Linked DNA regions of Anolis sagrei. The protein of the gene in region 1 purifies or fractionates together with the protein of each later gene. This does not show direct contact. Links are inferred from orthologs where the notes say so. Each region holds a gene or a part of one and is shown in the gene's direction. Other genes may lie near its edges.

Evidence for each region.
Region 2: the proteins of SRC (region 1) and CDC37 purify together in Homo sapiens (affinity purification with mass spectrometry; 3 studies listed by BioGRID and IntAct, with this or other methods). This does not show direct contact. The link is inferred for Anolis sagrei from reciprocal best matches to the Homo sapiens genes SRC and CDC37.
Region 3: the proteins of SRC (region 1) and PXN purify together in Homo sapiens (co-immunoprecipitation; 4 studies listed by BioGRID and IntAct, with this or other methods). This does not show direct contact. The link is inferred for Anolis sagrei from reciprocal best matches to the Homo sapiens genes SRC and PXN.
Region 4: the proteins of SRC (region 1) and MET purify together in Homo sapiens (co-immunoprecipitation; 4 studies listed by BioGRID and IntAct, with this or other methods). This does not show direct contact. The link is inferred for Anolis sagrei from reciprocal best matches to the Homo sapiens genes SRC and MET.

Annotation. Positions count from the first base shown.
Region 1 is NC_090024.1:216,704,415-216,711,906, forward strand, and holds the start of SRC (proto-oncogene tyrosine-protein kinase Src), read left to right. Parts: upstream 1-4,487; 5' UTR 4,488-5,246; intron 5,247-7,492. UniProt on the Homo sapiens protein: Non-receptor protein tyrosine kinase which is activated following engagement of many different classes of cellular receptors including immune response receptors, integrins and other adhesion receptors, receptor protein tyrosine kinases, G protein-coupled receptors as well as cytokine receptors.
Region 2 is NC_090022.1:161,784,336-161,792,210, forward strand, and holds the start of CDC37 (hsp90 co-chaperone Cdc37), read left to right. Parts: upstream 1-4,718; 5' UTR 4,719-4,775; coding exon 4,776-4,877; intron 4,878-7,875. UniProt on the Homo sapiens protein: Co-chaperone that binds to numerous kinases and promotes their interaction with the Hsp90 complex, resulting in stabilization and promotion of their activity. Inhibits HSP90AA1 ATPase activity.
Region 3 is NC_090034.1:45,993,905-46,001,914, reverse strand, and holds the start of PXN (paxillin), read left to right. Parts: upstream 1-4,935; 5' UTR 4,936-5,031; coding exon 5,032-5,044; intron 5,045-8,010. UniProt on the Homo sapiens protein: Cytoskeletal protein involved in actin-membrane attachment at sites of cell adhesion to the extracellular matrix (focal adhesion). Recruits other proteins such as TRIM15 to focal adhesion.
Region 4 is NC_090025.1:131,229,608-131,236,778, reverse strand, and holds the start of MET (hepatocyte growth factor receptor), read left to right. Parts: upstream 1-4,047; 5' UTR 4,048-4,417; intron 4,418-7,171. UniProt on the Homo sapiens protein: Receptor tyrosine kinase that transduces signals from the extracellular matrix into the cytoplasm by binding to hepatocyte growth factor/HGF ligand. Regulates many physiological processes including proliferation, scattering, morphogenesis and survival.

The DNA of each region.
Region 1 (7,492 bases):
GCTGATGACTCACACTTCACTTGTGGTCAACTAAGGCCCCTTCCACATAGCTGAATAAAATCCCACATTATCTGCATTGAACTGGAATATATGGCAGTGTGGACTCAGATAACCCTGTTCAAAGCAGCTATTGGGTTTATATGGCTGTGTGAAAGGGGCCTAAGGCCTCTAGATCCTTGCCATATGTTGCCGTAATGTGACTGTACTTTAACTTCTATTAGTGCAGGTACAGAAATGGCTTGGGTTGCTTTTCTCTGGACACATTCCAGATTGTCAATATTCTTGAATTGTGGTGCTCACAAAGGCACATAGTATTCCAATGAGCTCTGACCAAAGTGGAACACAGTGGCACAACAACTTCTGTCAATAGTAAGACAATATATTCTTGTTGATACAGTCCAGAACTGCATTGGCGTGTGTTTAGCTTTTGATCAACCAAGACTCTTAGATCCTTGCCCAGGCTATGTGCTTTTATAGTTTCTACTGGCGCAGGTACAGAAAAAAATCAACAGCTGAGGGCATGACGGCTCCTATTTTAGACTGAGGTTGCAACCTTTACTTTGAATTATCACCCCGCCCCCAGCAAAAACTCCAGTTAAGAAAATAATGTACACAGAGATGCAGAAGGTATCGATCCATCTCTCTCAGTACTGCCTGCTCTACTTGGCAGCACCTCTTTAGGGACTTGGGCAAAAAAAGCTTCTTGTTTCATTTTTCATTGCACTCTTCCACTGAACTCAGTTTCATCCCATGAGTTATAACCTATAGGAAGACTGATACATCTGAGTTGACTAGATGGGTTGGAAGCACCTGGAAGCTGTTAAAGACTCTCATCTGCTAGATCTGTACCAATAAAAGAGCCTCATTTAATTCCTTGGTTATCATTCCCAGGTAATCACACCTAAGACCCAGCCATATGGCGGTAGTTCTGTCTTACCTATAGGGTTTTCTTAGGCAAGGAATATTTAGAGGTGGTTTTGCTTGTTCCTTCCTTTGAAAGGTAGTGTACAGCACCTGGCATTTGTTGACAGCAGATGCAGGGAATGCCATGGATGTAGCGTAGATTTCAGAAAGTCCTTCGTCAAGGTCCCCCATGACCTTCTGGCAAGCAAACTAGTCAAATGTGAGCTAGGCAAAACTACGGTTAGATGGATCTGTAATTAGTTAAGTGAATGAAACCAACGGGTGCTCACCAATGTTTCCTCTTCATCTTGGAAAGAAGTGACAAGCGGAGTGCCATAAGCAGGGTTCTGTCCTGGGCCCGGTCCTATTCAACATCTTTATTAATGACTTAGATGAAGGGTTAGAAGGCATGATCATCAAGTTTGCAGATGACACTAAATTGGGAGGGATAGCCAATACTCCAGAAGACAGGAGCAGAATTCGAAATGAACTTAACGGATTAAAGAGATGAGCAAAAACTAACAAAATGAAGTTCAACAGTGACAAATGCAGGATACTCAATTTAGGCAGAAAAAAATGAAATGCAAAGATACAGAATGGGGGACGCCAGGCTCGAGAGCAGTACGTGTGAAAAAGATATTGGAGTCCTCGTGGACAACAAGTTAAACATGATCCAACAATGTGATGTGGAGGCAAAAAAAAAAAAAAAGCCAATTGGATTTTGGGCTTCATCAATAGGAGTCTAGTGCCTAGATCCAGGGAAGTCATGCTACCCCTCAATTCTGCCTTGGTCAGACCACACCTGGAATACTATGCCCAATTCTGGGCACCGCAATTGAAAGGAGCTGTTGACAAGCTGAAGTGTGTCCAGAGGAGAGCAACCAAAATGATCAAGGGTCTGGAGAACAAGTCCTATGAGGAGCAGTTTAAAGAGCTGGGCATGTTTAGCCTTCAGAAGAGATGGCTGAAAGGAGACATGAAGAGGGCCTTGCATAAATATGTGAGAGGTAGTCATATGGAGGAGGGAGCAGGCTTGTTTTCTGCCGCCCTGGAGACTAGGACATGGAAAAATGACTTCCAACTACAGGAAAGGAGAGTCCACCTTAGGAACAGCTTCCTGACTGTGAAAGCTGTTCAGCAGTGGAACTCTCTGCCTCGAAGAGTGGTGAAAGCTTCTTTGGAGGCTTTTAAACAACTGGATGGCCATCTGTCAGGGGTGCTTTGAATGCGATTTTCTTGCTTCTTGTCAGGGGGTTGGACTGGATGTCCTACAAGGTTTCTTCCAAGTCATGTTACCCCTCTATTCTACCTTGATCAGACCACATCTGGAGTACTGTATCCAATTGAAGGGAGATGTTGACAAGCTAGAATGTGTCCAGAAGAGGGCGACTAAAATGATTAAGGGTCTTCCAACTCTATGATTCTATAATCCCAGTATGAACAAGGGCTGATCCTGCTTTGCTTCCAAGATGAGAAGGGTTTGGGCACCTGGATGAAGGTACAACAGGCATGGGCAAACTTCAGCCCTCCAGGGGTTTGGAAGTTCAACTCCCACAATTCCTAACAGCCAGAGTTGAAGTCCAAAAGACCTGGAGGGCTGAAGTCTGCCCATGCCTGTGTTAGAGCAGTGTTTCTCAGCCTGTGAGTCCCCAGATGTTTTGGCCTTCAACTCCCAGAAATCCTAACAGCTGGCAAACTGGCTGGGATTTGTAGGTCAAAACACGTGGGGACCCACAGACTGAGAACAACTATGTTAGAGGGTGGGGCAGTCCCTTCCATGCTTACCTGAGGGGAAAACAACTCCATGGTTTTACGTGGAAAATTTCTGTTTGAGCAAACAAAACAGGGGGAATTACTGGACCTTCCTATCTCCTTTTCAGATTTTTTGAGGGGAAAGAGGAAGGAAGGAAGGAAGGAAGGAAGGAAGGAAGGAAGGAAAGAAGGAAAGAAAGAGACAGGAAGGATGGAGAGAAAGGAAGGAGAAAGAGGGAGGAAAGAGAGAAGATAGGAAGGAGAGGAAGGAAGGAGAAAGAGGGAGAAAAGAGAGAAGATAGGAAGGAGAGGAAGGAAGGAGAAAGAGGGAGGAAAGAGTGAAGATAGGAAGGAGAGGAAGGAAGGAGAAAGAGGGAGAAAAGAGAGAAGATAGGAAGGAGAGGAAGGAAGGAGAAAGAGGGAGGAAAGAGTGAAGATAGGAAGGAGAGGAAGGAAGGAGAAAGAGGGAGAAAAGAGAGAAGATAGGAAGGAGAGGAAGGAAGGAGAAAGAGGGAGGAAAGAGTGAAGATAGGAAGGAGAGGAAGAAAGGAGAAAGAGGGAGAAAAGAGAGAAGATGGGAAAGAAGGAGAAAGAGGGAGGAAAGAGAGAAGATAGGAAGGAGAGGAAGGAAGGAGAAAGAGGGAGGAAAGAGAGAAGATAGGAAGGAGAGGAAGGAAGGAGAAAGAGGGAGGAAAGAGAGGAGAAGATAGAATCAAAGAGTTGGAAGAGACCTCATGGGCCATCCAGTCCAACCCCCTGCCAAGAATATTGCATTTAAATCACCCCTGAAAGATGGCCATCCAGCCTCTGTTTAAAAGCTTCCAAAGAAGGAGCCTCCACCACACTCTGGGGCAGAGAGTTCCACTGCTGAATGGCTCTCACAGTCAGGAAGTTCTTCCTCATGTTCAGATGGAATCTCCTCTCTTGTAGTTTGAAGCCATTGTTCCGCGTCCTAGTCTCCAGGGAAGCAGAAAACAAGCTTGCTCCCTCCTCCCTGTGGCCTTCTCTCACATATTTATATATGGCTATCATATCTCCTCTCAGCCTTCTCTTCTTCAGGCTAAACATGCCCAGCTCCTTAAGCCGCTCCTCATAGGGCTTGTTCTCCAGACCCTTTATCATTTTAGTCGCTCTCCTCTGGACACATTCCAGCTTGTCAATATCTCTCCTGAATTGTGGTCCCCAGAATTGGACACAATAATCCAGGTGTTGTCTAACCAAAACAGAATAGAGGGATAGCATGACTTCCCTAGATCTAGACACTATGCTCCTATTGATGCAGGCCAAAATCCCATTGGCTTTTTTTGCCGCCACATCACAAAAAAGCCAATGGGATTTTGGCCTGCATCAATAGGAGCATAGTGTCTAGATCTAGGGAAGTCATGCTACCCCTCTATTCTATTTTGAGAGGAGAAGATAGGAAGGAGAGGAAGGAAGGAGAAAGAGGGAGAGAAGAGAGAAGATAGGAAGGAGAGGAAGGAAGGAGAAAGAGGGGGGAAAGAGAGAAGATAGGAAGGAGAGGAAGGAAGGAGAAAGAGGGGGGAAAGAGAGAAGATAGGAAGGAGAGGGAGGAAGGAAGATCCCCACCGAAATGATTAAGAGGGAAATTGAGTAGAGGGGGGAGAAAAAAGTCCTACGACCCTCAGGAAGAGAGCATCCACCTCTCTCCCAGACGTGAAGCCCTTGAGGACCACAATCCACCCCCTCCCTTTATAAACCACCCTCCCCAAGGCCTCCTCCTCCTCCTCCTCCTCCAGGCAGACACCACGCCCGACGTCAGCAAGCGCCTCGTAGACGTCACGCCTTGACTCACCGCGACGTCATACCTCCCTCCAACCCTCCTCCTCCTCCCCCTCCCCTTTTGCCCGGGCAGGACGGAGTCGCGCGGCTCCTTTCCGCCTCTTTCCTTCCTTCCTTCCGCTCTTCCTCTTTCCCCCCAAAAATCAAGCCAAGGAGGCGGCAGCTTGTCCTCCCCCCTTCTCTCCCCTCCCCCCAGCTTCCGGTTCTGCTGCCATATTCCTTTTTTTTATTTTAAAGGCAGGGGAGGAAAACCCGCTGGGAAAGGGAAATAAAGCAGCGCAAGCGAAGGGAGGCAAGGAAGAGCTGCGTCCTGCTCGCCTTCTCCTCTCCCTTTGGATGCTCTTCGGGTCGGAGGAGGCGCTCCAAGGCTTCCTCATTCCGGAGGAAGGAAAAGGAGAAGAAGGAGAAAGGAGACGCCGGGCTTTCTGGAAGCCGCAGCGAAGGGACTGCTGCTGACATCACTTTCTCGCAAGCCGTCCAAGTTCTGGTCCCTTTCGAGGCTCAAGTCTCCAGCGAAGGAAAGAAAAGAAGGGAGAGAAGGAAGGCAAGACCCAGGCGCGCCTCCCGTCCTAGCAAAGCTCCTCCTGAATGAATACGCGGCGCTTCCTCGCTGGGCCGCCTTCCTCTCCCTCTCCTCCTGGGTTGCCTCTGTTTACTTCCAACTGAGCCCCCCTCTCCTTCCTTCCTTTGGGTTTGGGAAGAGGGAGAAGCACACCAAGGAAGGGAGGAAGCCAAGCAGACGTCGTCTATCAGCTGAGACCGAAAAGCCGGCGGAGGAAAGAGGAAGGAAGGTAAGCCGCTCCGCCGGTGGAGAGAAGCGTCTCTCCTGTTTGCAGGGAAGGAGACAGCTCACTACTTGGCTGGATGGGACTTAGACCCTCCAGGTGTTTTGGACTTCAACTCCCACCATTCCTAATAGCCTCAGGCCCCTTCCTTTCCCCGGCTGAGGGGGGAAAGGAAAGGGCCTGAGGCTGTTAGGAATGGTGGGAGTTGAAGTCCAAAACACCTGGAAGGAAAGGCCCAAGTTTGTCCATGGGTGCCGGTTAACTGAGAGTCTGCAGCACGTGTCTGTGTTTCGAATTTCATGTCTGAATATCCCTTTCTTTCTCCTCCTCTCCTTCCTTCAAGAAAAAGGAATATGGATTAATAATAATAATATTTTCGAAGGCTTTCATCACTGGGTTGTTGTAGGTTTTTCCAGGCTATATGGCCATGTTCTAGAGGCATTCTCTCCTGACGTTTCGCCTGCATCTATGGCAAGCCTCCTCAGAGGTTCTGAGGTCACATAGCCCGAAAAAACTTACAACAACTGGCCATGTTCTAGAGGCATTCTCTCCTGATGTTTCGCCTGCATCTATGGCAAGCCTCCTCAGAGGTTGTGAGGTCACATAGTCCGAAAAAACCTACAACAACCCAATAATAATAATAAAACTTTATTTCTAGACCGCCCTCTCTCTCTGAAGGGACTCAGGGCAGTTTGCAGACACAAAACAAAAAGGCAAACATTCAATACCTTCAAATGAATACAAAATACATAAGAATAATACAAGATAATGCACAGAAACAACCGTACACTTGCAACAATTAAGCATCGAGATGGAAATGATTGAAAAGCAATCCAGTAAGAGATGGTAAACTAAAACCTGAGAAAAGCATTACAATGTTTACCCTGTAAGCAATTATGATACAATTACATTGGAATGGGTTGTTTTGAGTTTTCCGGGCTGTATGGCCATGTTGCAGAAGCATTCTCTCCTGACGTTTGGCCCACATCTATGGCAGACATCCTCAGAGGTTGAGGGGTCTGTTTGGAAACTAGAAGAATGGGGTTTAAGCCTTCCTGAGTCCTCCTTTGGAGGTTGAGAAGGGCGGGATACAAATGCTCTAAATAAATAAATAAGTAAATAAATAATCTGTGGAATGTCCAGGGTGGGGGAAAGACCTCTTGTCTGCTGGAGGCATGTGTCAACGTTGCAATTGGCCACCTTGATTAGCATTTAATGGCCTGCAGTTTCAAGGCATGGCTAGTTGCTGCATGGGGGAATCCTTTGTTGGGAGGTGTTCGCTGACCCTGATGAATTCTTATCTGGAATTCCCCTGCTTTTTGAGGCTTGTTCTTTATTTACTGTTCTGATTTTAGAGTTTTTAAAAAACTGGTTTCCAACAAACCCCTCAACCTCTGAGGATGCCTGCCATAGATGTGGGCCAAACGTCAGGAGATAATGCTTTCTGGAACATGGCCATACAGCCCGGAAAACTCACAACAACCCATTGATTCCAGCCATGAAATCCTTTGACAACACAATAATATTAATAATAGGACTTTATTTCTAGAACGCCCTCTATCCTCAAAGGGACTCAGGATGGTTTACAGACACAAAACAAAAAGGCAAACATTCAATGCCTTAAGTAAATACAAACACATCAAAATAATACAAGATAATGCACAAAAACAACAGTAAACATACAACGAAGAATTATCCATCGTGATGAAAATAATTAAAAAAAACAAACCAATAAGTGATAGTAAACTAAAACATGAGTAAAACACTACAACATATACCCTAAAAGCAATTATGATACAATTACAATAAAATGGCTAACACCTGTATTCTTTTAAGATGTATTGTAGCAGCCAAAAAATACAAGTGGGTTATGGATATTGTGTGTATATGTATGTGTATGTATCTCTTTGCTCCTGCTCCTGAATTCCCCTTTTATTCTAATGGCAGCTATTTCCACTGAGTGGGTTCATCTTTCTCCCTTTCAGTAAAGGCGGGGAAAGAAAGGCAGAGCCTGGTTCTGATGCCTTGTTGTTGTTGTTGTTTGTGCTCAGTGTGCGTGAAAGGATGCAGGCCAGGATGCTTGGCCGCCAGGGAAGAGGATCCTTGGGGGGGGGGGGGGGGCTTTCTTTTGTTGTGGTTCAGTGTCTGCTTCTATGGGAGTGAGGGGAGGGGGCTTCCTGTCTGGTCCCAGGTGCCCTCCTCCCTCGCCCTCCCTCCCGCTTCTTACACTGAGAATCAAATCATTTGGGGGA
Region 2 (7,875 bases), on another chromosome or scaffold:
CAGAAAATACTTAAGGCCATCCAGTCCAACACCCTTCACCAGGGCAAGAATACGTAATCAAATCCCTCCTGACAAAGAGCCATCCAACCATAGATATAGATAGATATATATCATTCACACAGAGATATAGTATCATAGATTTGAAAGGGACCCCCAAAGAAGAACAATTTGCATGTTGCATGTTCCAGAGTAGGCAAACCATACCATCTCCATATCAACACTGACAAAGAAACAAGAAATACTGTTTACCCACAAGCAGAAAGAAATTACATATATTAGAAACCAACACTGTCTCATTACTTTATTTTCCAGATCACCAGACTGGGCCACAGCAATGCGTGGCAGGGGACGGCTAGTTAGAAATATATTTCATAGGCATTGCAATTCTCCTGTGACAATGGAGTAAGACTAGTGTAGCAGTGTTTATTATTATTAGTAGAAGTAATTGTAATTGTTGATATAATGTAATTTTGTTCCATTAAGTTTACAATCCATTTTGTATTACTAATGTAGTCTCTACCATGAAGAAAAATCCCACATGATTACTATATATGGTAACCCTGGAGTTCATTAGTCTTTAATAGTGGAGCCTTCCCATGAAGGGAATATGTGGCATTAACTTCAAACAGCTGATTTGGAGTGTCCTGAAAACAACTGTTTAGTTTACTTGTAGAGTGTTTTCAACAGGGACATTTTCTGCTTCAGATGCCAAAATAACACGGCTTGCTTTGGTGTGGGAGGTAGACAGGAATTTCCTCCTCTTCCCCTGACAGCTAATGACTTGGGACAACCCTGTTCCTTACAGAAACAACAAGTCCTTATATTTCAGTCTTTTATCTTTGGCCATTGCGGTTGTCTAGCTTGTGCATCTGGAACTGCATGGGTAACAAATCTATATAAATAAAAATGTAATGTTTGTTTGTGGGATTAACATAATTCAAAAACCACTGGATGAATTAACACCAAATTTGGACACAATACACCTATCAGGCCAGCGAGTAACCATCACTCACAAGAACACTGAAAAACACAGTGGGAGGGATTTAAAAAGTCAACCCCCCCCCCCAAAAGATACTACAGTGCATGTGCAAAAACATCTACCCCGGCAAACAAAACACACAATAGCATATCCACACTCTCTTCCGGACTACAGATCCCAGCATCCCCTATACCAGGCCCTTTAGGAGAGGAGGACAATCCAAATGAACTGCTTCCAAGATGCAAGTTTTCTTCTCCTTAGATTTCCTGCATACAGGGGCGGCTCAACCCATTACGCAAAGTAAGCATTTGCAATATAGTTGATTTTGCCAAGGGGCGCTCTTGAGGCGCTCTTGGGGGAAAATAGACCTTGACGTTTGCGAGTTGTAGTTACTGGGATGTATAGTCCACCTACAATCAAAGAGCATTCTGAACTCCACCAATGATGGAATTGAACCATATTGCCATATTGCACACAGAACTCCCAGGATGAACAGAAAGTATATATCAGTGATTGGTTGGGGAGGGGGGGGGGGGGGGCAAAATACTGTTTGCTTACCATTGAAAATGACCTAGGGCCGACTCTGCCTGCATATTTCCAATTTTCTTTTCCTGGACTGCAACTCCCAGCATTTCTCCAGATAAATGGATTAGATAGAGATAGATAGTTTGGTAGATAGATTTACCTAGCTCCAGCAGACTTTTGTCTGCTGGAGCTAGGTGTGAATGTTTCAACTGACCACCTTGATTTGCATATAATCAACCCAGTGATTCCGGCCATGAAAGCCTTCGAAAAAGAAAGATTTTCCTGAGTTATGTTGTGTCCCCATACATATTGGTATTATTGCAATGTGTGTAAATATCTGTGTGTCTTATAAGAGGCCAGTTTAACGTCTGGTTTATTCTTAAAACTGAATTAATGTGTCGCTCAATGATACATGTCTAAAAACTGTTTTGCCAGCATGAAATGGTTGGAAAGCTCTGCCCTAAACCAACAGGGGAGTGATATTCATCCTCTAAAGGGCAGGATGGCCTGATAGGTAATTTCTTGACAGAATCCTATGCTGCTGAGGTGAGAAAACATTATAATAATACAGTCAACCCCCCATCTACAAATTCTGCATCCATGGATTCTACCATCCACATCTTCAATATATATAAAAAGATCCAAAATGCAAAACTTAAATTTTGTCGAAGGGATTCCATTTTACTATGCAATGGATGTAAGGATGCGTAGATTTTGGTATCCACAGTGGATCCTGGAACCACTGCATTCAGAGTGCTGATCACCACTGGGACCACCTTTACTGGCTTGTACCAGTTTTGCAGTTTGATCTTTAAATCCTCATACCATGTCAGCTTTTCCAGTTGCTTCTCATCAATTCTGCTGTTGCCTGGGATTACAACACTGATGATCCATACTTTGCTTTTTTCCCCATGATCATGAGGTCAGGAACCAAACAGCAAAGAAAAGAATGAAAGAAAGAGGTAAAGAAGAAGAAAGAAACAGTATTCCTTGTTTTTTCTATGTCAATGTTGATGTGGAGATTGTCTGGTTTGCCTACTCTGGAACATGCGACATATCATTGTCCTTCTTTAGGGGTCCCTTTCAAATCTATGATATTATATCGCTCACTGTGTGTGAATTATATATATCTATCTATATGACTGGATGGCTCTTTATCAGGAGGGCTTTGATTACGTTTTCTTGCCCTGGTGAAGGGAGTTGGACTGGATGGCCTTAAGTATTTTCTGTCGGTCATGGGGGTTCTGTGTGGGAAGTTTGCCCCAAATCTGTCATTGGTGGGGTTCAGGATGCTCTTTGATTGTAGGTGAACTATAAATCCAGGAACTACAACTCCCAATTGTCAAGATTCTATTTTCCCCAAACTCCACCAGTGTTCACATTTGGGCATATTGAGTATTCGTGTAGTTTGGTCCAGATCCATCATTGTTTGAGTCCACAGTGATCTCTGGATGTAGGTGAACTACAACTATAAAAACAAAGGACACTGCCCACCAAACCCTTCCAGTATTTTCTGTTGGTCATGGGAGCCCTGTGTGCTAAATTTGGTTCAATTCCATCATTAGTGAAGTTCAGAAAGCTCTTTATTGTAGGTGAACTATAAATCCCAGCAACTACAACTCCCAAATGACAAAATCATTTTTTTTAGTGAAGGACATACATTGGGTTATTAGGTGTTTTGTGTCCAAATTTGTTGTCAATTCGTTCGTTTTTGAGTTCTGTTAATCCCACAAACGAACATTACATTTTTATTTCTATAGATTTTAAAATTAACGGTCTGGACTAGATGCTATGAGCCATGACAGTTTAAAGTGGGGTCGAGCTGCATTATTTCTACTGTAGACTGGAGCTACACTGCTATATAAATTGCATGCATATAGATCCAGCCAAAAGAGCAAAGGGAAATGTATTGTCGAAGGCTTTCATGGCTGGAATCACTAGGTTCTTGTAGGTTTTTTCGGGCTATAGGGCCATGTTCTAGAGGCATTTCTCCTGACGTTTCGCCTGAATCTATGGCAAGCATCCTTAGAGGTAGTGAGGTCTGTTCTGAGAATCTGTGAACCCCACCTCCTCCAAGATGAACTGAACCACCTCAACTGGGCTCTCCAGGCCAATGGATACTCCACCTCAGACATCAGAAGAGCTGCAAGACCAAGAACAAGCCACGAGAGTAAAGATGAAGATCCACCCAGAGGAAAAGTGTTCCTGCCATACATCAAGGGAACCACTGACCGCACAGGGAAGCTGATGAGGAAACACAACATACAAACAATCTACAAACCCACCAAGAAAATCCAACAAATGCTACGTTCAGCAAAGAACAAGAGGGATCCTCTCTCCTCTGCAGGAGTCTACCGTATACCATGCAGCTGTGGACAAGTCTACATAGGGACCACCAAACGCAGCATTGCCCAGACACGCATCAAGGAACATGAAAGGCACTGCAGACTCCTTCAACCAGAGAAATCAGCCATAGCAGAGCACCTGATGAACCAGCCTGGACACAGCATTTTATTTGCGAGCACGGAAATGCTGGACCACTCCAACAACCACCATGTCAGACTACACAGAGAAGCCATTGAAATCCACAAGCATGTGGACAATTTCAACTGAAAGGAAGAGACCATGAAAATGAACAAAATCTGGCTACCAGTATTAAAAAACTCTAAAATTACAACAGCAAAACAGCAAAGAGGAAACACCTCTCAACAGGGGAATTTTCCCAGGCTCAGCCAGGCCTTCAAATGCTAATGAAGGTGGTCAGCTGAAACATTCACACCTAGCTCCAGCAGAGAAGAGCTCTTTGCCCCACCCCAGCCATTCCACAGATATATAAACCCATTTTCCTATTTCCAATAGACCTCACTACCTCTGAGTATGCTTGCCATAGATGCAGGCGAAACGTCAGGAGAAATGCCTCTAGAACATGATCATATAGCCCGAAAAAACCCACAAAACCTTAAAAAACATTCACATTCAATTAGAACCCCCCTCCCCCAAAATTACATTTTTATTTATATAGATCTCTATATTTACTGGAAGGAAAAAACCCGAAAAAACCTACAAGAACCTAGCAAAGGGAAAATTCCACAGAGTGGGTCCCAGAAGTCAAGGCGGCGCATCACTCTATTTTATCGTAGCTCTGTTGTTTCCCAGTGAGCGTCACAGAGACGAGCAGGAGGGAAGAAAGGGGCGGCGGCGCTAAGTTTGGCGGAAATGACGCACGAGGCATAGCGGAAGTCCGAGGAGGGGCCGCACTAGCCGCAGCGCCATGGTGGATTACAGCGTGTGGGATCACATCGAGGTGTCCGACGATGAGGACGAGACTCACCCCAATATCGACACGCCCAGCCTCTTCCGATGGCGACACCAGGTGAGGGAAAGGCGCCCCGCGAGAGAAAGGGCCTCGCTTTCGGAGCCCCGCAGAGAACTCTCTGGGCTAGGCCTGCTCAGGCTGCGGCCCTCTCCTTGCTTAGGCCTCCAGCTCCCAGGATTCCTGGCCATTGAACAAACTGGCGAGGGCCTGTAGAAGTTAGAGGCCCAGAGATCTGGAGGGCCGCCCTTTGAGGAGGCCTGCATGGCCCATTACTCCACCCTCATGAACATACTTGGGTGTGGTTGTTTTTAATCTATCTATCTATCTATCTATCTATATAAATACTCCATAAAAACAAAAGAACCAATGAACGAAATCACACCAAATTTGGCAACAAAATGTCTCACAACACAAGGAGTGACCATCACTCAAAAAGTTATGATTTAGCCATTTGGGAGTTGTAGTTGCTGGGATTTATAGCTCAACTACAATCAAAGAGCATTCTGAACTCCATCAACGATGGAATTGAACCAAACTTGGCACACAGAATCATAGAATCAAAGAGTTGGAAGAGACCTCATGGGCCATCCAGTCCAACCCCCTGCCAAGAAGCAGGAATATTGCATTCAAAGCACCCCTGACAGATGGCCATCCAGCCTCTGTTTAAAAGCTTCCAAAGAAGGAGCCTCCACCACACTCCGGGGCAGAGAGTTCCACTGCTGAACGGCTCTCACAGTCAGGAAGTTCTTCCTAATGTTCAGATGGAATCTCCTCTCTTGTAGTTTGAAGCCATTGTTCCGCGTCCTAGTCTCCAGGGAAGCAGAAAACAAGCTTGCTCCCTCCTCCCTGTGGCTTCCTCTCACATATTTATACATGGAACTCCCATGACGAACAGAAAATACTGGAAGGGTTGGGCGGGCACTAACCTTGTGTTTTGGAGTTATAGTTAGTTTACCTACATCCAAAGAGCACTGTGGACTCAAAAATGAAGGATCTTGACAAAATTTGGCACAAGTACTGCATATCCACAAGTATGAACACAGATGGAGTTTGGGGGAAATAGACCTTGGCAATTTGGAGTTGTTTATTTATTTATTTATTTATTTCGTGTACTTATACCCCGCCCTTCTCACCCCCGAGGGGGGACTCAGGGCGGCTTACAAAAGGCACATCTTGGTGCCTACACAAATACAATAATATATAAAACCAGCAATTAAATGGTCAACAATTAAAACAATTAAAAACAACAATATATCACACAATCAATAGCCAATCTCAGACACAGCGTTCGCCAACTCAGAATTCATGTTTCGCTCTACCTTGTCCAGTTCCTATCTATCGTCACAGTCCCTTATTCATCTGCCAGATTGCCCAAACGCCTGGTCCCACATCCACGTCTTTAATTTCTTTCTGAATGAAAGGAGGGATGTTGCTGATCTGATCTCCCCGGGGAGTGAATTCCATAGGTGAGGGGCCACCACTGAGAAGGCCCTGCTCCTCGTCCCCGCCAATCTCACTTGTGAAAGAGGCGGGGTCGAGAGCAGGGCCTCCCCAGAGGATCTCAAACTCCGAGATGGTACGTAAATGGAGATGCGTTCGGACAGATACGCTGGGCCGGAATCATATAGGGTTGTCAGGATTTATAGTTCACCTACAATCAAAGAGCATTCTGAACCCCACCAACGATAGAATTGGACAAAACCTTCCACACAGAACCACAACAGCAACTCTGATGACCCTTGCGACACCCCCTCATGACCTCCCTCCGGCATCCCGACCCCCAGAATAAGAAATGCTGCATTAAGGCCATCCAGTCCACCTCCCTTCACCGGGGCAAGAAAACATAACCAAAGCCCTCCTGACAAAGAGACATCCAGCCATAGATATAGATAGTTATGTATGATTCACACAGACACAGATATATGTATATGACAGATATAGTGCCATAGATTTGAAAGGGAGCCCTAAAGAAGGACAATTATATGTTCCAACGTAGGCAAACCAGACAATCGCTACATCAACACTGACAAAGAAACAACAAGAAATACTGTTTACCCACAAGCATAAAGACATTACAGATATATTAGAAACCAGCACTTTCTCGTTACTTTATTTTCTAAATCACTAGGCTGGACCACAGCAACACATGGCAGGTGATGACTAGTAATAATAATAATAATCTTTATTTGTACCCCGGCACCATCTCCCCAAAGGGGACACGGGGCGGCTAACATGAGGCCAAGCCCAAAAATACAATACAGCAAAATAAAATACAAAACAACAGAAAAATTACATCATAACAAAATGCATAAAATAACAAGATGAAATAAACAGTGCAAAATCTATATAAATAAAAATGTTATGTTCGTTTGTGGGATTAACATAACTCAAAAACCACTGGACAAATTGCCGCCAAATTTGGCCACAAGACGCCTACTAACCCAAGAACTGATCATCACTAAAAAAAAAATTGATTTTGTCATTTGGGAGTTGTAGTTGCTGGGATTTATAGGTCACCTACAATCAAATAGCATTTTGAACTCCACCAATGATGGAATTGGGCCAAACCTAGCACACAGGACTCCCATGACGAACAGAAAACACTAGAAGGGTTTGGTGGGCATTGACCTTGAGTTTGGGAGTTGTAGTTCACCTACATCCAGGGAGCACTGTGGACTCAAACAATGATGGATCTGGACCAAGCTTGGCACAAATGTTCCATATGCCCAAATATGAACACAGATAAAGTTTGTGGAAAATAGACTTTGGCAATTGGGAGTTGTAGTTACTAGGATTTATAGTTCACCTACAATCAAGGAGCATTCTGAACCCCACCAACGATGGAATCGGGGCAAACTTTCCACACAGAACCCCCATGACCAACAGAAAATACCATCCAGTCCAACACCCTTCACCAAAGCAAGAAGACGTAATCAAAGCCCTCCTGACAAAGAGCCATCCAGACATAGATATATATGATTCACACACAGAGAGATATAGTATCATAGATTTGAAAGAGACCCCTAAAGAAGAACAATTTGCATCTTGCATGTTC
Region 3 (8,010 bases), on another chromosome or scaffold:
TGTTTGCTGTGTACTAATCTTGTTGTGTTTCAAATAATAACCATAACAACATTTAATTTCCATATTTACATGGTTCTAATGCTCACCTTTATATTAAATTACTTTCCCAAAATTAGAGCGCGCATTAGATTTGTGTAATACGGCAAATACTTTTTGGGGTTTCAAGGTTTTGAAAATTGAGATGCGCATTAGATTAGATGGTGCACTAGACTTGAGTAAAGTATTACCTGCCTCTCCTGATGGTCCAAGGCGGGGTGCAAAAGCATGCAAACATAAATTACTTTTACTTAGGCGATCCCTCGTTCGCCGAGTAGGATAGTCTTCCAGGATCAGTGTTCTGGTGGGTCCATAGGTAACTGTGGAGCCCTATCCGTGAGGGCATTGGTTTCCAGGTGGGAAGCGGTCTCAGTTGGGGTTGGCTTGATGCGCCTTCCTCTTGGCACGTTTCTCTCTTTCGCCCTCCATTTGTGCCTCTTCAAATTCTGCAGCACTGCTAGTCACAGCTGACCTCCATCTGGAGCGCTCAAGGGCCAGGGCTTCCCAGTTCTTAGTGTCTATGCCAGAGTTTTTAAGGTTGGCTTTGAGCCCATCTTTACATCTATTTTCCTGTCCTTCAACATTCCATTTTCCATTCTTGAGTTCGGAGTAGAGCAACTGCTTTGGGAGACAGTTGTCAGGCAGATGGAGATGATGGCAGAGGACCATCGCTTCAATGCTGGTGGTCTTTGCTTCTTCCAGCACACTGACATTTGTCTGCCTGTCCTTCCCAAGAGATTTGCAGGACTTTCTGGAAGCAGCACTGATGGAATTGTTCCTGGAGCTGCATGTGACATCTGTAGACAGTCCACGTCTCGCAGACATATAGTAGGGTTGGGAGGACAATAGCTTTATAAACAAGCACCTTGGTATCCCTACAGATGTCCCGGTCCTCAAACACTCTCTGCTTCATTGGGAAAAATGCTGCACTCGTGGAACTCAGGCGGTGTTGTAGTTCGGTGTCAATGTTGACTTTGGTGGAGAGGTGGCTGCCAAGGTAGCAGAAATGGTCAACATTATCTAATGTTACACCATTAAGCTGTATCTCTGGCATTGGAGAGGGGTTGGCTGGTGACTGCTGGAACAGCACTTTGGTTTTCTCGATGTTCAATGACAGGCCGATTTTTTGGAGGATGGTCCAGAGAGCGCTGTGATTCACTGTGTCAAATGCCTTTGCAAGGTCAATGAATGCCATGTACAGAGGCAGATTTTTCTTGGAGCTGTTGTGCAGTTAAGACCATGTCCACGGTTCCTCTGGAGTGGTGGAAGCCGTTCTAGGATTCTGGGAGGGTGTCTTCTGAGAGGGGTAGAAGGCAGTTTGCAAGGATTCTTGCTAGGATTTTCCCAGTGAAGGTTAGAAGGGAGATACCTCGATAGTTTCCACAGTCCATTCTTTCCTCTTTTTTGAAGAGGGTGATGATGGTGGCATCCTTGAAATCTGCTGGGATTTTCTTGGTCACCCACACTTTTTCTATGAGCTGGTGGAGTTGTTGTGTCAGCTCAGGTCCTCCCTCTTTAAAGATTTCAGCAGGGATCCCATCAGGTCCTCTGGCTTTGTTATTTTTTGTTGGTTGATGGCATTGCTGACTTCTTCCAGATTAGGCAGTGCTGCAAGCTCATCCCTGGTTTGTTGTTGTGGGATTTGTGAGAGAACCTTTTCGGCCACATTGGAGCTGCGATTCAGGAGAATTTGGTAGTGTTCTTTCCAACGTAGTGTAATTGATTTTTGGTCCTTCAGGAGTTTGGTTCCATCTGATGAGTGTAGAGGCTGTGTGCCATGGTTTCTTGGTCCATAGATGACATTTGTGGCTTTGAAAAATCCCTGAGCATCATGGGTATCTGCCAGGTGTTGGATTTCTTCAGCCTTCTTTGTCCACCAGATGTTCTTGAGTTCTCTTGTCCTTCTTTGGACCTCAGCTTTTGCACTGGTGTAGATCTTTTTCTTAGCAGCACAGTTGACGTCTCTCTGCCATGTTTGGAAGGCTTTCCTTTTCTTGTCAATTAGCTGTTGGATCTCGTCATTTTCATCAAACCAGTCTTGATGCATCTTGGTTTGGTATCCAATACTTTCTTCACAGGCTGTGATGATGGAGGTCTTCAGTTTATTTCAATGTTCCTCAACATTTTCGGGGTGTTCTGTGGGTAGATGGTCCTTGAGTGCTGTTTGGAGATGGGTTCAATTTGAGGGCTCCTGAAGGGCTTGGGTGTTCATTTTGCACCTTGTCTTTCTTCCTTGGAGTCTGCGCTTGGGTTAGGATTAGCCTGTGGTCTGTCCAGCAGTCGTCAGCACCTGTCATGGCTCTTGTGAGGAGCACGTCATGGCGGTCTCTGGCACGTGTGATTCCTTAGTCTAAGAGGTGCCAATGCTTTGACCGGGGGTGCTTCCATGATGTCTTGAACTTGTTTTTTTCTGGCGGAAGAGCGTGTTGATGCCAAGGTTGTGTTCTGCACATTTGGTGAGAAGCAGGATGCCATTCAAGTTGCTGTTTCAAACCCCGTCTTTTCCTATGGTCCCTGGCCACAGGTCGAAGTCTCGCCCGACTTGCATTAAAGTCCCCCAGGAAGATGATTTTGTCCTCCTTAGGTATCTCCGATAGGACGGTGTCCAGCTGACAGTAATTTTTTTCCTTGATGTCTTCATCAGCATCTAGTGTTGGTGCATAGGCACTTATGATGGTTGCCTGTTAGTTTTTGGCAAGTTCAATTCGGAGGGTTGAGAGTCGTTCATTGATGCCAGTGGGTGCTTCGGTCAGATGTTTCACCAGATCATTTCTGATAGCAAAGCCAACTCCGTTCATTCTTTGGTCTTCTTCGGGCAGTCCCTTCCAAAAGAAGGTGTAGCCTCCTTTTTCTTCCTTCAGCTGTCCCTCTCCTGCTCTCCGGGTCTCCTGAAGGGCTGCTGTGTCGATGTTAAAGCATCCCAACTCTCTTGCAATGATGGCAGTTCTGTGTTCGGGGTGTTCACTGTCAGTGTTGTCCATCAGTGTCCGTACATTCCATGTACCAAAGTTCATTTTCCTTTTTTGGCCGCAGGGTGGTGACCCCACTGGATGCGGCAGTCCAGTCAGGGATAAGAGAGGCAGACTATGTTTAGGGCACCTTTTCTAGCCCCTTCCTCATGTGGGGTGAGCAGAGTGGATCCTCAAAAGGGCTACTCAGTCATGGATACAGCTGCCGAACTACTCAACTGCCTCGGACCTTGAGGTAGAATGACTGAGTCCATATCCATCCATGTGCCAGTCTGTGACTAGGGGCTTCCATATTTCACAGTCCTGCCCCCGTCACCACTCGCTGATCGCCATGGGACTTTTGTAGGTTTGTTTTTATTTTCTTTGGAAGACGCCTGTGCATGAGTTTTTTTAATGTGCGGAGGTCAGTGCACACTGATCAACACACAGTCTTCACAGAGTGAGGTTCCACTGGTGATGTAGTTTAACACAATGACCGTGGCTTCTCAATCTGTTGCAGCCTTCTTCCGTCTTCACAGCCATTGTAACATGTACCATATTATCCTCCGCCTGCTCTGCCATTGAGGTCTTTGGGTCTTCAGACTGTGCTTGGTCTGGAACCTCCCCCGTGGCCACTCCTGGGATTGCACGATTCCAGTTGTTGTGCCTGCAGTTTCATTGGAACACGCAAGCCCCCTCACCACGACAAGGTGACAGTCCATCGAGGGGGACGAACATAAATATATATACAGTATATATAAGAATGATTGACAACTGGAAAATAGAGGGAGAAAACGTGGAGGCCGTGACAGACTTTGTATTTCTAGGTGCAAAGATTACTGCAGATGCAGACTGTGGCCAGGAAATCAGAAGACTTCTTGGGAGAAGAGCAATCTCCAGTCTCGATAAAATAGTAAAGAGTAGAGACATCACACTGGCAACAAAGATCCGCCTAGTCAAAGCCATGGTATTCCCTGTAGTAACCTACGGATGTGAGAGCTGGACCTTAGGAAAGGCTGAGCGAAGGAAGATAGATGCTTTTGAGCTGTGGTGTTGGAGGAAAGTTCTGAGAGTGCCTTGGACTGCGAGAAGATCCAACCAGTCCATCCTCCAGGAAATAAAGCCCGACTGCTCACTGGAGGGAAGGATACTAGAGACAAAGTTGAAGTCCTTTGGCCACATCATGAGGAGACAGCAAAGCTTAGAGAAGACAATTGTGCTGGGGAAAGTGGAAGGCAAAAGGAAGAGGGGCTGACCAAGGGCAAGATGGATGGATGGCATCCTTGAAGTGACTGGAGGACCTTGAAGGAGCTGGGGATGGTGACGGCCGACAGGGAGCTCTGGCGTGGGCTGGTCCATGAGGTCACGAAGAGTCGGAGACGACTGAACGAATGAACAACAACAATATATAGACAAACATAAATATATATATACAGTAAATGACATAGATAAAAACACAAAAATATATTTTTAAAAACTTGCATCAGGCATAGTTTGGTGAGGCATGAGCATTCTTGGGCAGAGAAAGCCACAGAAATAATCAAACTTCCAGGATCCCATAGCAATGAGCCATGCCAGTTAAAGCATTGCCAAATTGCACTTATTCTGCTTCCTAAAAGAAGCATCAAAGAATGTCATGGGTTCTGTCTCCTTAGGCGTAGGCACTAGGCAGATATTCTCTGAACACTTCTGGTCTCCTGCATTTGTCTATAGTAGTACACCATTTCCCAGATTTGCACAGAAGCGATTGAACACAGCTTCTGCCTAGGCCTTCTCTGCCCCGCTCCCAATTCTTTCCTTGCGCCTCCCAGGCGCTGCCACTAGGGGAGTGGGCGGCGCTGTCGGGCCGCCTTAGTTTTCGAAGGTGCCTTCTGCGCGTGCGTCGATGCTCGCGCCCCGAGGGGCGGTCCTGGCTGGGCCAGGGGAAGGGAGGGGGAGAGGGCAGGGGGCGTCGCGCGCAGGCGCGGGGCGGCCAAGCAGAGGCCAAAGTTGCGGCGCCTCCAGTCAAGCGGCGGTCGGAGCGGGGAGCGGCGGCGGAGGAGGAAACATGGACGACCTGGGTGAGCAAAGAATCCGCAAGGCCAACCCAACTGGGGGGGGGGGGGGGTACGCCTTTCCCCACCAGACTCTCCACAAAACTACCACAATGCTCGTCTTTCTCCTCAGAACTCCTCACTCAACTCCCAGGATGCCCATCTTTCCCTTCAGGACGATCACAATTCCCATCTTTTCCCTCAGAATGATCACAGTGCTCCACAAACTCCCCAGAATTCCCATCTTTCCCCTCAGAATTATCACAGTTTCCCTCACAATTCCCATCTTTCCTTTCAGAACTATCACAATTCCCGTATTTCTTTCAGAACTATCACAATTTCCATATTTTCCCTCAGAACTACTACAATTCCCATATTTCCCCTCAGAACTATCACAATGTCCTCCAAATTTCCCCTCAGAACTATCACAGTGTCCCCCACAATGCCCAAATTTCCTCTCAGAACTATCACAGTGTCCCTTACAATTCCCATATTTCCCCTCAGAACTATCACCATTTCCCTCACAACCCCCAAATTTCCCCTCAGAACTATCACAATGTCCCCCAAATTTCCCCTCAGAACTATCACAGTGTCCCTCACAATCGCCAAATTTCCCCACAGAACTATCAATGTCCCGTCACGAATCCCATGTTTCCCCTCAGAACTATCCATTCCCATCTTTCCAATTAGAACTATCACAATGCTCCTTACATTTCTCTCTCTCAGCTCTATGCCTTTGCTCAGTTCCCCTCCAAGCACTCCCTCCTTCTTTTATGTTTTGTTTTGTTATTTCCTTCTCCCTTTACTGGTGGGTTTTTTTGTTTGCTTTTGTTTTTTGGAGAGTGGGAGAGCAGTCTGGTTGGTGCCTTACATTAGAATCCTCCCCAGAATCCCTGTCCCAAGTTTTCAGTTCCTTTCTTCCCCTTTCGCCTCGGTTTCCCCAACCTTACTTTCCACACAATTCTCTTGCATTAGGAAGTCTTCCCCTCATCTAAACTCACACCTCCTTCCTTTGCCTTGAGCTTCTCCCAAATGCTTGGGACCAGTTGTCTTTTGGGATTTTGCCTGTTTTCCCTTTCAATTTGAGAAGTGTTTGCATAGGCATAGGAGATGGGATCCAAGTCCAAGCTCCACATTCCTTTCTGTTTCATAGACACCTTAGAAACACAGCCAGGAGGTCTGTTTTTCATATTGTGGGGCACAAAACAAAGTTTGTTACAGATGGAAACTCACGTCCAAACTCCACATTTGTTGCTGTTTCATAGATCTTTGAAACACAGCTGGAAGGTCAGTTTACACACCATTTAAAAAATACATTTCTGCGCGAAACAAAAGTTAACTACCTTGAACCGTCAGAAAGCAAAGTGTTTGCTATTGCAACATTTTGGGATTTTGGAGCATTTTGGGGATTTGGGAAAAGGGCTGCTTAACCTGTATTTTTATGTTCCTCACCTCTGTTCCCAGTCCTTTTGCTCATAACCTCATATTTTCTCCTTAGGTCTCTTTTTTTTACAAAACCAAAATTGGGAGAAAAGTATTCTGACATGTGTCCTCCTCAACATGCTTTGGGGAAGGAAGAGAAAATGACCGATCGAGTAAAATCAAATATTTTTCTTGATGTACAAAAATTTCAGGCTGATCCTCTAGGAAGCAACGATAACCTAAAAATAACAGCGTAGTTCCCATTCTGCCAACCAAAATGTGATGCCAAGTAGTGAGCAAACTTTTGAATCCCCCCAGGAGTTCAGCATTCTGGTTTTGCTTAAAAACCAACCTGCAGAATTGCTTGGAAGAAGTTCACAGTTCGCATACTATTCTGTGTAATATTTTTATTTAGCCCTAATAAAGATGTTTGTCTTGCAGTTGCTTTCAGGTTGCTGCATTCTGAAGTGGAAGATTCTTTTGGTTGAACAAAAATGAGTTGAACAAGCCTCTTCTGTTGGCTTTAATATTGAATAACTGCTGTTGAACGTGGAATTGGATTCTGTGTAAACATGGTTAAGATTGGGGATGACAACATGGTTCAATTCAAGCTATGTATATGGCGTTTTGCAAACCTTGGATATAAGTTCTTGTTAGCAAAGAGTCTTTTCAAATGAAAAAGTCATTTTATTTTGTAAATTTTCTGAATTTTTACAAAAACAAACAGGTTGATCGCTCCTTACTTTTTGATATATCTCATAATATGGCTTTAGGGATATTCTTTCTGTACAAAAACCTGCAATGAATAAGTTAAAAGTTTTCCATCTCTTACTTTCCTTTAGGCTAAATTCAATTTTAGTCCCAACTCCAACGACTCACTGCAACGAATATTACTTGGTTCATCACTTTTTCTGCAAGTACCATTTCAATAGATGTAGTGAAGCTGTATGTAAAACTTAATCTAGCCCCTAGCTTACCCTCAGGCTCTGAAAGCTTTTTCACTTTGCCACTTCCCCAGTCTAGACTCAGAAATTGCCTGGACATTTGCCAGTGTATATGTATTGTGGTCTCAGTTTACTCTTCCTTCCATGTTGGCATGTTAGACTCCTATTGTGATTGTTTCCCTTTGCCAGGTGTACCTCATACCCCAGGCCTGCACACAATACCAAAAAGTACGTTCCATAGAACTTAATGGAGCCTACTTGTGAGTAAACACAAGAGTGCATTTAGTATGGCCACCCCCCTTCCCGTCTGCAAAACTTAGCCTTGGTTGGGATGGTTGTAAAAATGGTTCACAATCCAAAAAGTAAGTTGAGTATCATGTTATACTTTCAGCCTTTTTATGTGCTGTGTTTAAATGCTTTTGCCATCAGTGTCTTGCAAATGCAGCCATTTTCATATATATTTTCCACAATTCTAATTGTATTGCAGCAGCCAGTGGGAGTTACCAAAAATGTTAAATGTCTGAATAGTCCTGTTTAGTTTCTGGCAGCCTCTTTTCCCTTGTGACATTTGCATATTTATTTAATATGTTGTATTTCAACCATTCTCTGAAGACTTCTAGACAGTGC
Region 4 (7,171 bases), on another chromosome or scaffold:
TTAACTCTTGAAAAGAGTTATAATGGGGGGAAAGGTGTCTCCAATGCTTTATCGCCAATCTTTGTTTCCACAACAAGCCAAATTTTGCAAAATCGTATTCACAGGGGCAGAAAGTGAGGTGAAATCTGCTGACACAGACAGCAAAGCAAAGGTGTTAACCCTTCCCTATGCTATCCAAAGTGATTGGAATAAGAATGTGTGTGTGTGTGTGTGCAAAAACAAGGAGATATATTAGAGAGAGAGAGAGTTTTGGAGCCCCCTCCCCCGTTCACTAAGCTGTTAAACTTGCTGACTGAAAGGTCGGTGGTTTGAATCCGGAGAGCGGGGTGATCTCCCACTGTTAGCCCCAGCTTCTGCAACACACCTCGGAGTCAGACACGATTAGACTTATTTTTATTTAGAATATGTTGCTCCTAAAGATTGGAGCTAAAAGAAAAGTGAAGGGGATATTATAGTTCTGACTTACATCCAAATTCAGTTTTTAAGGACAAACCCGCAGAACCTATTTTGTTGCCAACTTGAGGACTGCCTGGAATCAAGTTTCTGAATCATCTGCTTTGAACTGGATGAGGAGGCAGTGTAGATTCATATAATTCAGTCCAAAGCAGATCACCTGAATCCAAAAACTGGATTATATAGCAGTGTAGATGGAACTAGAGGCAAAGTGAAAGTGCATCTTTCTCAAATGGCCCAGGTGTTTCCCTATAAGGAAGTGCAACCCTTTATTTGTATAACAAGTGGCATTTCATTTAGTTTAGGTTTGGATCAACACTGTGGGATATTCCAGGAACTGATCTCAGATTATGTGGTGGTGTAGACTCATAGAATCCAGTTTAAAGCAGATAATTATAGGATCAGACCCTGGCATATACAACAGTGTAGAGCAGCACTTCTCAACTTGGGGGTCAGGAACCCTGATGGAGGTCACAAGGGGGTTTCAGAAGGGTTTCCAAAGCCCATCAGAAAACATATATTTCTGATGGTCTTAAGAACCCCTTTGGCAGAGGAGGCTGAAGATCTATCTGCTTGTCCTTCTCTTCCTTTTGGAAACAGTTAGTGAATCTTCCCACCAAAATCCTTCCTCCTGCTGTGATTGGCCAGCCTCTCAGCTAGCCTCTCAGCCAAGGGGAAAGCTGTTTCTGAGACTCCAACCAGGGAGGGGAGAGCAGGCATGCTTGGAGCATGGCAGCATTGTGCGCATTTGCAGGCAAGGGAGAGCGTATGAGGCTGGAGGGAGGCTCGAGTCACCCCCTTCAAAGTTTGGCCCAATTCTATCATTGGTGGGGCTCAGAATGCTCTTTGATTGTCGATTAACTATAAATCTCATCAACTACAACTCCCAAATGTCAAAGGTCTATTTTCCCAAACTCCACCAGAGTTCACATTTGGGCATATTGAGAATTTGTGCCAAGTTTGGTCCGGATCTATCACTGTCTGAGTCCACAGTGCTCTCTTGATGTGGGTGAACAACAACTCCAAAAACTAAAGGTCAATGCCCAACAAACCCTTCCAGTATGTTCTGTTGGCCATGGGATTTCTGTCTGCCAAGTTTGGTTCAATTCCATCATTGGTGGAGTTCAGAATGCTCTTTGGTTGTAGGTGAACTCTAAATCCCAACAACTACAACTCCCAAATGAAACAAATCAATAACTCCCCCCCCCCCCAACCCCACCAGTATTCAAATTTGGGCATATCAGGTATTTATGCCAAATGTGGTTCAGTGAATGAAAATACATCCTGCATATCAGACAATAATAATAATAATAATAATAATAATAATAATAATTCTTTATATCCCGCTTTTCTCCCCAAAAAGACCCAAAGCAGTTTTCAACAAATCAAAAACAGCATTAAATCAACAGCAATTAAACTTATATATAACATATTAAACATAAATAATATATAACATAAACATAAATACACATTTAAAAACCATAAATAAACATTTAAAAACCATATGCATGACAATGGTGTCTCATCAGGTTATATTTCATATTATTTGATAGATGGGTGGATAGATGAATGGATAGATGGATGATTGGAAAGAAGGCTATACCAGTGACCTGCAATGCAAAAAAACTCTTTTGCTCTCTAAGGCAACCAAGAACTTCATGTTTTCATAATACAAATTCAAATATGGGACTTAACAAATTTCTAGGCACTCCATGGTGACTCGATGGGTGCATCTACACTGTAAGATTAACATAATTTGGCACCTGGGAGCTGCAGTTTTACAAAGTCTTTAGCCTTCTCTTCCAATGAGAGCTGGTGCCACACAACACTACGACTCCCAGGATTTCATAGCATAGAGCCAGGGCAATTAAAGTGGAGTCAAACTGCAAATAGTAGTAGTAATAATAATAATGGGAATGATAATAATAATAATAATAATAATAATAATAATAACCACAAATTTGTCTGGTCCCAAGCATTTCAGATAAAGGATAACACTATTTGAAGGAAGGCGAAAGAGGGAAGGGAGGAAGGAAAGAGAGAAGGAAGGAAAGACAAAAGGGAGAAAAAGAAGGAAGGAAGAACAAAAGGGTGAAGGGGAAAGATGAAGGGAGGGAGGGAGCAGGAAGGAAAAAGAAGGGAGGAAGACAAGAGAAGGAGGGAGGGAGGGAAGGAGGAAGGAAAGAGAGAAGGAAGGATGAAAGGGTGGAAGGGAATGGAGTGAATGAGAAAGAGGGAAGGAAGGAAAGAGAGAAGGAAGGAAAGACAAAAGGGAAGAAAGGAAGAACAAAGGGTGGAGGGGAAGGATGGAAGGAAGGAAAAAGAAGGAAGAGAAGGATGGAAGGAGGAATGGAAGGTGGAAGGAAAGAGAAGGAAGGAAAAAGAAAAGGAAGGGCGAAAACGTGGAAGGGAATGGAGGGAAGGAGAAAGAGGGAAGGGATGAAAGAAAGAAGGAAGGAAAGATAAAAGGGAAGGAAGGACGAAATGCTGGAGGGGAAGGATGGAAGGCAGGAAGGTAAAAGAGAAGGGTAGAAGAGAAGGATGAAAAGGTGGAAGAGAATGGAGGGAAGGAGGAAAGAGAAACAGATGGAAAGACAAAAGGGAAAGAAGGATCAAAAGATGGAGGGGAAGGATGGATGGATGGATGGATAGAAAGAAGGAAGGAAGGAAGGAAGGAAGGAAGGAAGGAAGGAAGGAAAAAGAGAAGGGAGGAAGAGATGAGTGCAAGGAAGGGAAGGAGGAAAGAAAGAGAGAAGGAAGGAAGGACAAAAGGGTGAAAGGGAATGGGGGAGGGAGGGAGAACGAGGGAAGGGAGGAAGGAAAGAGAGAAGGGAAAAAAGACAAAAAAGGAAGGAAGGAGAAAGGGAAAGAGGGAGCAAAGAAGGACGAAAGCTTGAAAGGGAAGGAAGTGGGGAGAAAGAGAGAGGGAAGGAGGAATGAAAGAGAAGGAATGATAGGATGGTGAGAGAGAGAGAGAAGGAGGAAGGAAAGAGAAGGAATGATAGGATGGTGAGAGAGTGACAGAAGGAGAGAGAGAAGGAGGAAGGAAAGAAGGAATTGTAGGATGGTGAGAGAAAGAGAGAGAAAAGAGGAAGGAAAGAGAAGGAATGATAGGATGGTGAGAGACAGAAGGAGGAAGGAAAGAGAAGGAATGATAGGATTGTGTGTGTTTGTGAGAGAGAGAGAGAGAGAGAGAAGAGGAAGGAAAGAGAAGGAATGATAGGATGGTGGGAGAGTGACAGAGGGAGAGAGAAAAGGAGGAAGGAAAGAGAAGGAATGATAGGATGGTGTGTGTGTGTATGTGTGAGGGGGGGGGGGGGAGGGTCTGAGAAAAAAAACCCAAGGGCCTGGGTTTGCCCATTCCTGAGCTTTAGCCAACTTACATTATTTACACGACGCTTCATAACAGTGACTATTATGAAGTAGCAACGAGAATAATTGTATGGTTCCCCACAACATGAGAAACTGTATGAAGGGGATCGCGGCATTTATAGAAGACCCAGCCTCTGTGGGAGAGAGAAGAGGCGGGTCAGTAGCAGTGACTGCGGGAACTCCTTCCTTGTGTGGCCACCGTAGGCTTTCTGGGGAGGCGGGCAGGTCCACTCAACGCCTGCTGTGCTGTCTTCGCGCCTCCTTTCGCTTCCCTCCGGTTCGTGAGTCACGGGCAGGTCAGGAGGAGCGACTGGGGAGGCGAAGAGAAGGAGGGGCAGCCCCTTGGCCGCTGGGAGCCGCCACCATCGCGGCAGAGAGAGAGTGAGTGAGAGAGAGAGAGCCCCGCCAGCCAGCCCGCCCGCCCTCCTTCCCTGTGTCGCCAGGCGCCTCCTCCCTCCAGGTGGCTCCCTCCCTCCTTCCTTCCCTCCTTCCTCGCCAGGCGTGGAAAGCGAGGGCTCCGTGGCGGGAGCTGAAGCCAAGGCATCCCCGTGCGTGGCGGCTGAACCGAGACGCCTCGCCTCCAGCAATCAAGGTAATCAAGCCGGGAAAGGGAAGGGAAGAGGGAGAGGCATCCAGGCTGCCAGTGCCACTTGTTCCAGCGCCTTTATGCCTTATTCCCAGAAGTTAGTGGCGTACACATGGTTGGGTTTTGTTGAACCGTGCGGAGTTCGTCTCCTGATTCAATTCCCTTGCGTTGGGAGGCGCCCCAAAAGCCGTCCTGTCCAGCCCTCCCTGGAAAATGCAATCAAAGCCCTCCCGGCAGATAGCCATCCTTGCCTCTGCTTCACAACCTCCAGAGGAAGCTCTTGCCATCGGGAGGTTCATCTAAAACGGGCATGGGCCAACTTTGGCCCTCCAGGTGTTTTGAACTTCAACTCCCACCATTCCTGGGAGTTGAAGTCCAAAACACCTGGAGGGCCAAAGTTGGCCCATGCCCGTTCGAAAACATTTAGGTGGGAATCCCTCCTTTGTGTAAATGAAACCTGGCTGCTGAAGGCAGGTGGAGGCGCCTCCTTTCATTCCTAAGGCTATCTGAAAGCATTCAGGCCAACATCCAGGTGAATTATCAGGATTTGGAAGACAAAAAGATTAGTACACAGCAAACAAGATCACTGCGTTGGCTGTTGTATTGGATCTCACCTCTGACATTTATTATTATTATTATTATTATTAACTTTATTTGTACCCCGCTAGCATCTCCCGGAGGACTCGATGCGGCTTACACAGGCCGAAGCCTCAAAACACAGTACAGTAAAACGTAACATCACAATAACAGCAAATCAAAACAATAAACAAAATAACATAACTCCACAATAACTAAGCAAATCAGATAATAAGCAAAAATAACGACAATGACAGTACATCAAGACCTTATTAAAACTGGTTCAGCCGGCGCACTGGGGCACAAGGGTTAAAAGTGCTGAAATGGCAGGAGGCACGTAAGATTAAAAGTGTGGTGTGCAGCGACAGTTAGTTATGCTAAAGTGCTACTAGGACTTGGGGTGGGGGTTCCTAGTCTGGGAAGGCACAACGGAACAGCCAAGTTTTTAAATTCCTTCTGAAAACGGCCAGAGTGGGGGCCTGTCTGAGATCCTTTGGGAGGGCGTTCCAGAGTCGGGGGGCCGCCACAGAAAAGGCCCTGTCCCGTGTCCCCACCAAACGCGCTAAACATTTCCCAAGTTTAGGTGAGAATCTAAATTATAATCTAATTATAAATCTAAATAATAATAATAATAATAATATATTTATTTAGACCCCACCTTTTCTCCCCCAAGAGGGACTCAAAGCAACTTCAATTATAGCCATGTCAAGACAACTATGGAGGAATTATTCCTCCTACTAACTACATATTATTATCATTATTATTATTATTATTTAGACCCCATTTTATCTCCCCCAAAAGGGACTCAAAGTGACTTCAGTTATAGCCTTATCAAGACAACCATGGAGGCATTATTCCTCCTACTAAATAATAATAATAATTATTATTATTATTATTATTTAGACCCCACTTTATCTCCCCCAAGAGGGGCTCAAAGCAACTTCAACTATAGCCTTATCAAGACAACCATGGAGGCATTATTTCTCCTACTAAATACATATTATTATTATTATTATTATTATTATTATTATTATTTTATTTAGATCCCACTTTATCTCCCCCAAGACTTCAATTATAGCTTTATCAAGACAACCATGGAGGCATTATTCCTCCTATATATATTTTTGAAGGGAGTATGTGTATGCATGTGTGTGTTGATATTTTTCCCTTCAGGGTGGTGGCGATGGTTGGGTTTTGTCTTTTCAAATGTTGTTGATCAAGGAGGGTTGCTGCTTTTCGTAAAGGAAACCAAGTGCCTGGAATTTGGCTGCCACCGCTTTTTTGGAGACCTGCCTAGACTCAGCAGGGCCCAGCCTCATGGATCCTTCCCTCTATGCCAAGGGTCATTCCTTATGTGGCGGTAATGATAGCAACAGAGAGGGAGGTTGAGCATGTGCAGAGTGCTTTCCTATCCTTGGATGTGTATTGGATTAACAAGTGAGGTTGCCAAGTTGCACGATAGCCAGGTAGCCTCTCCTCAAAAGTTAACCAATTTCCAGGTTTCTGTGAGTTTTCCGGGCTGTATGGCCATGTTCCAGAAGCATTTTCTTCTGATGTTTCGCCCACATCTATGGCAGGCATCCTCAGAGATTGTGAGTTTTTTAGGAAACTAGGCAAGTGGGGTTTATATATCTGTGGAATGTCCAGGGTGGGAGAAAGAATTCTTGCCTGCTTGAGGCAAGTGTGAATGGTGCAATTGATCACCTTGATTAGCATTGAATAGTCTTTCAGCTTCAAAGCTTGGCTATTTCCTGCCTGGGGAAATGTCCAAAGTGGGAGAAAGAACTCTTGCCTGCTTGAGGCAAGTGTGAATGCTGCAATTGATCACCTTGATTAGCATTGAATGGCCTTTCAGATTCAAAGCTTGGCTGCTTCCTGCCTGGAGGACTCCTTTGTTGGGAGGTGATTAGCTGGCCCTGATTGAAAATCAACAAAATCTGTCTGCCAGTATTTCAGAAACTCTAAAATTGGGATAGTAAATAAAGAACAACACTCAGAAAGGTTCTTGTGGGTTTTTTCGGGCTATAGAGCCGTGTTCTAGAGGCATTTCTCCGTCAGGAGAAATGCCTCTAGAACATGGCTCTATAGCCCGAAAAAACCCACAAGAACCTAGTGATTCCAGCCATGAAAGCCTTCGACAATACATTGAACACTCAGAAAATTGGGAATTCCAGACAAGGAACA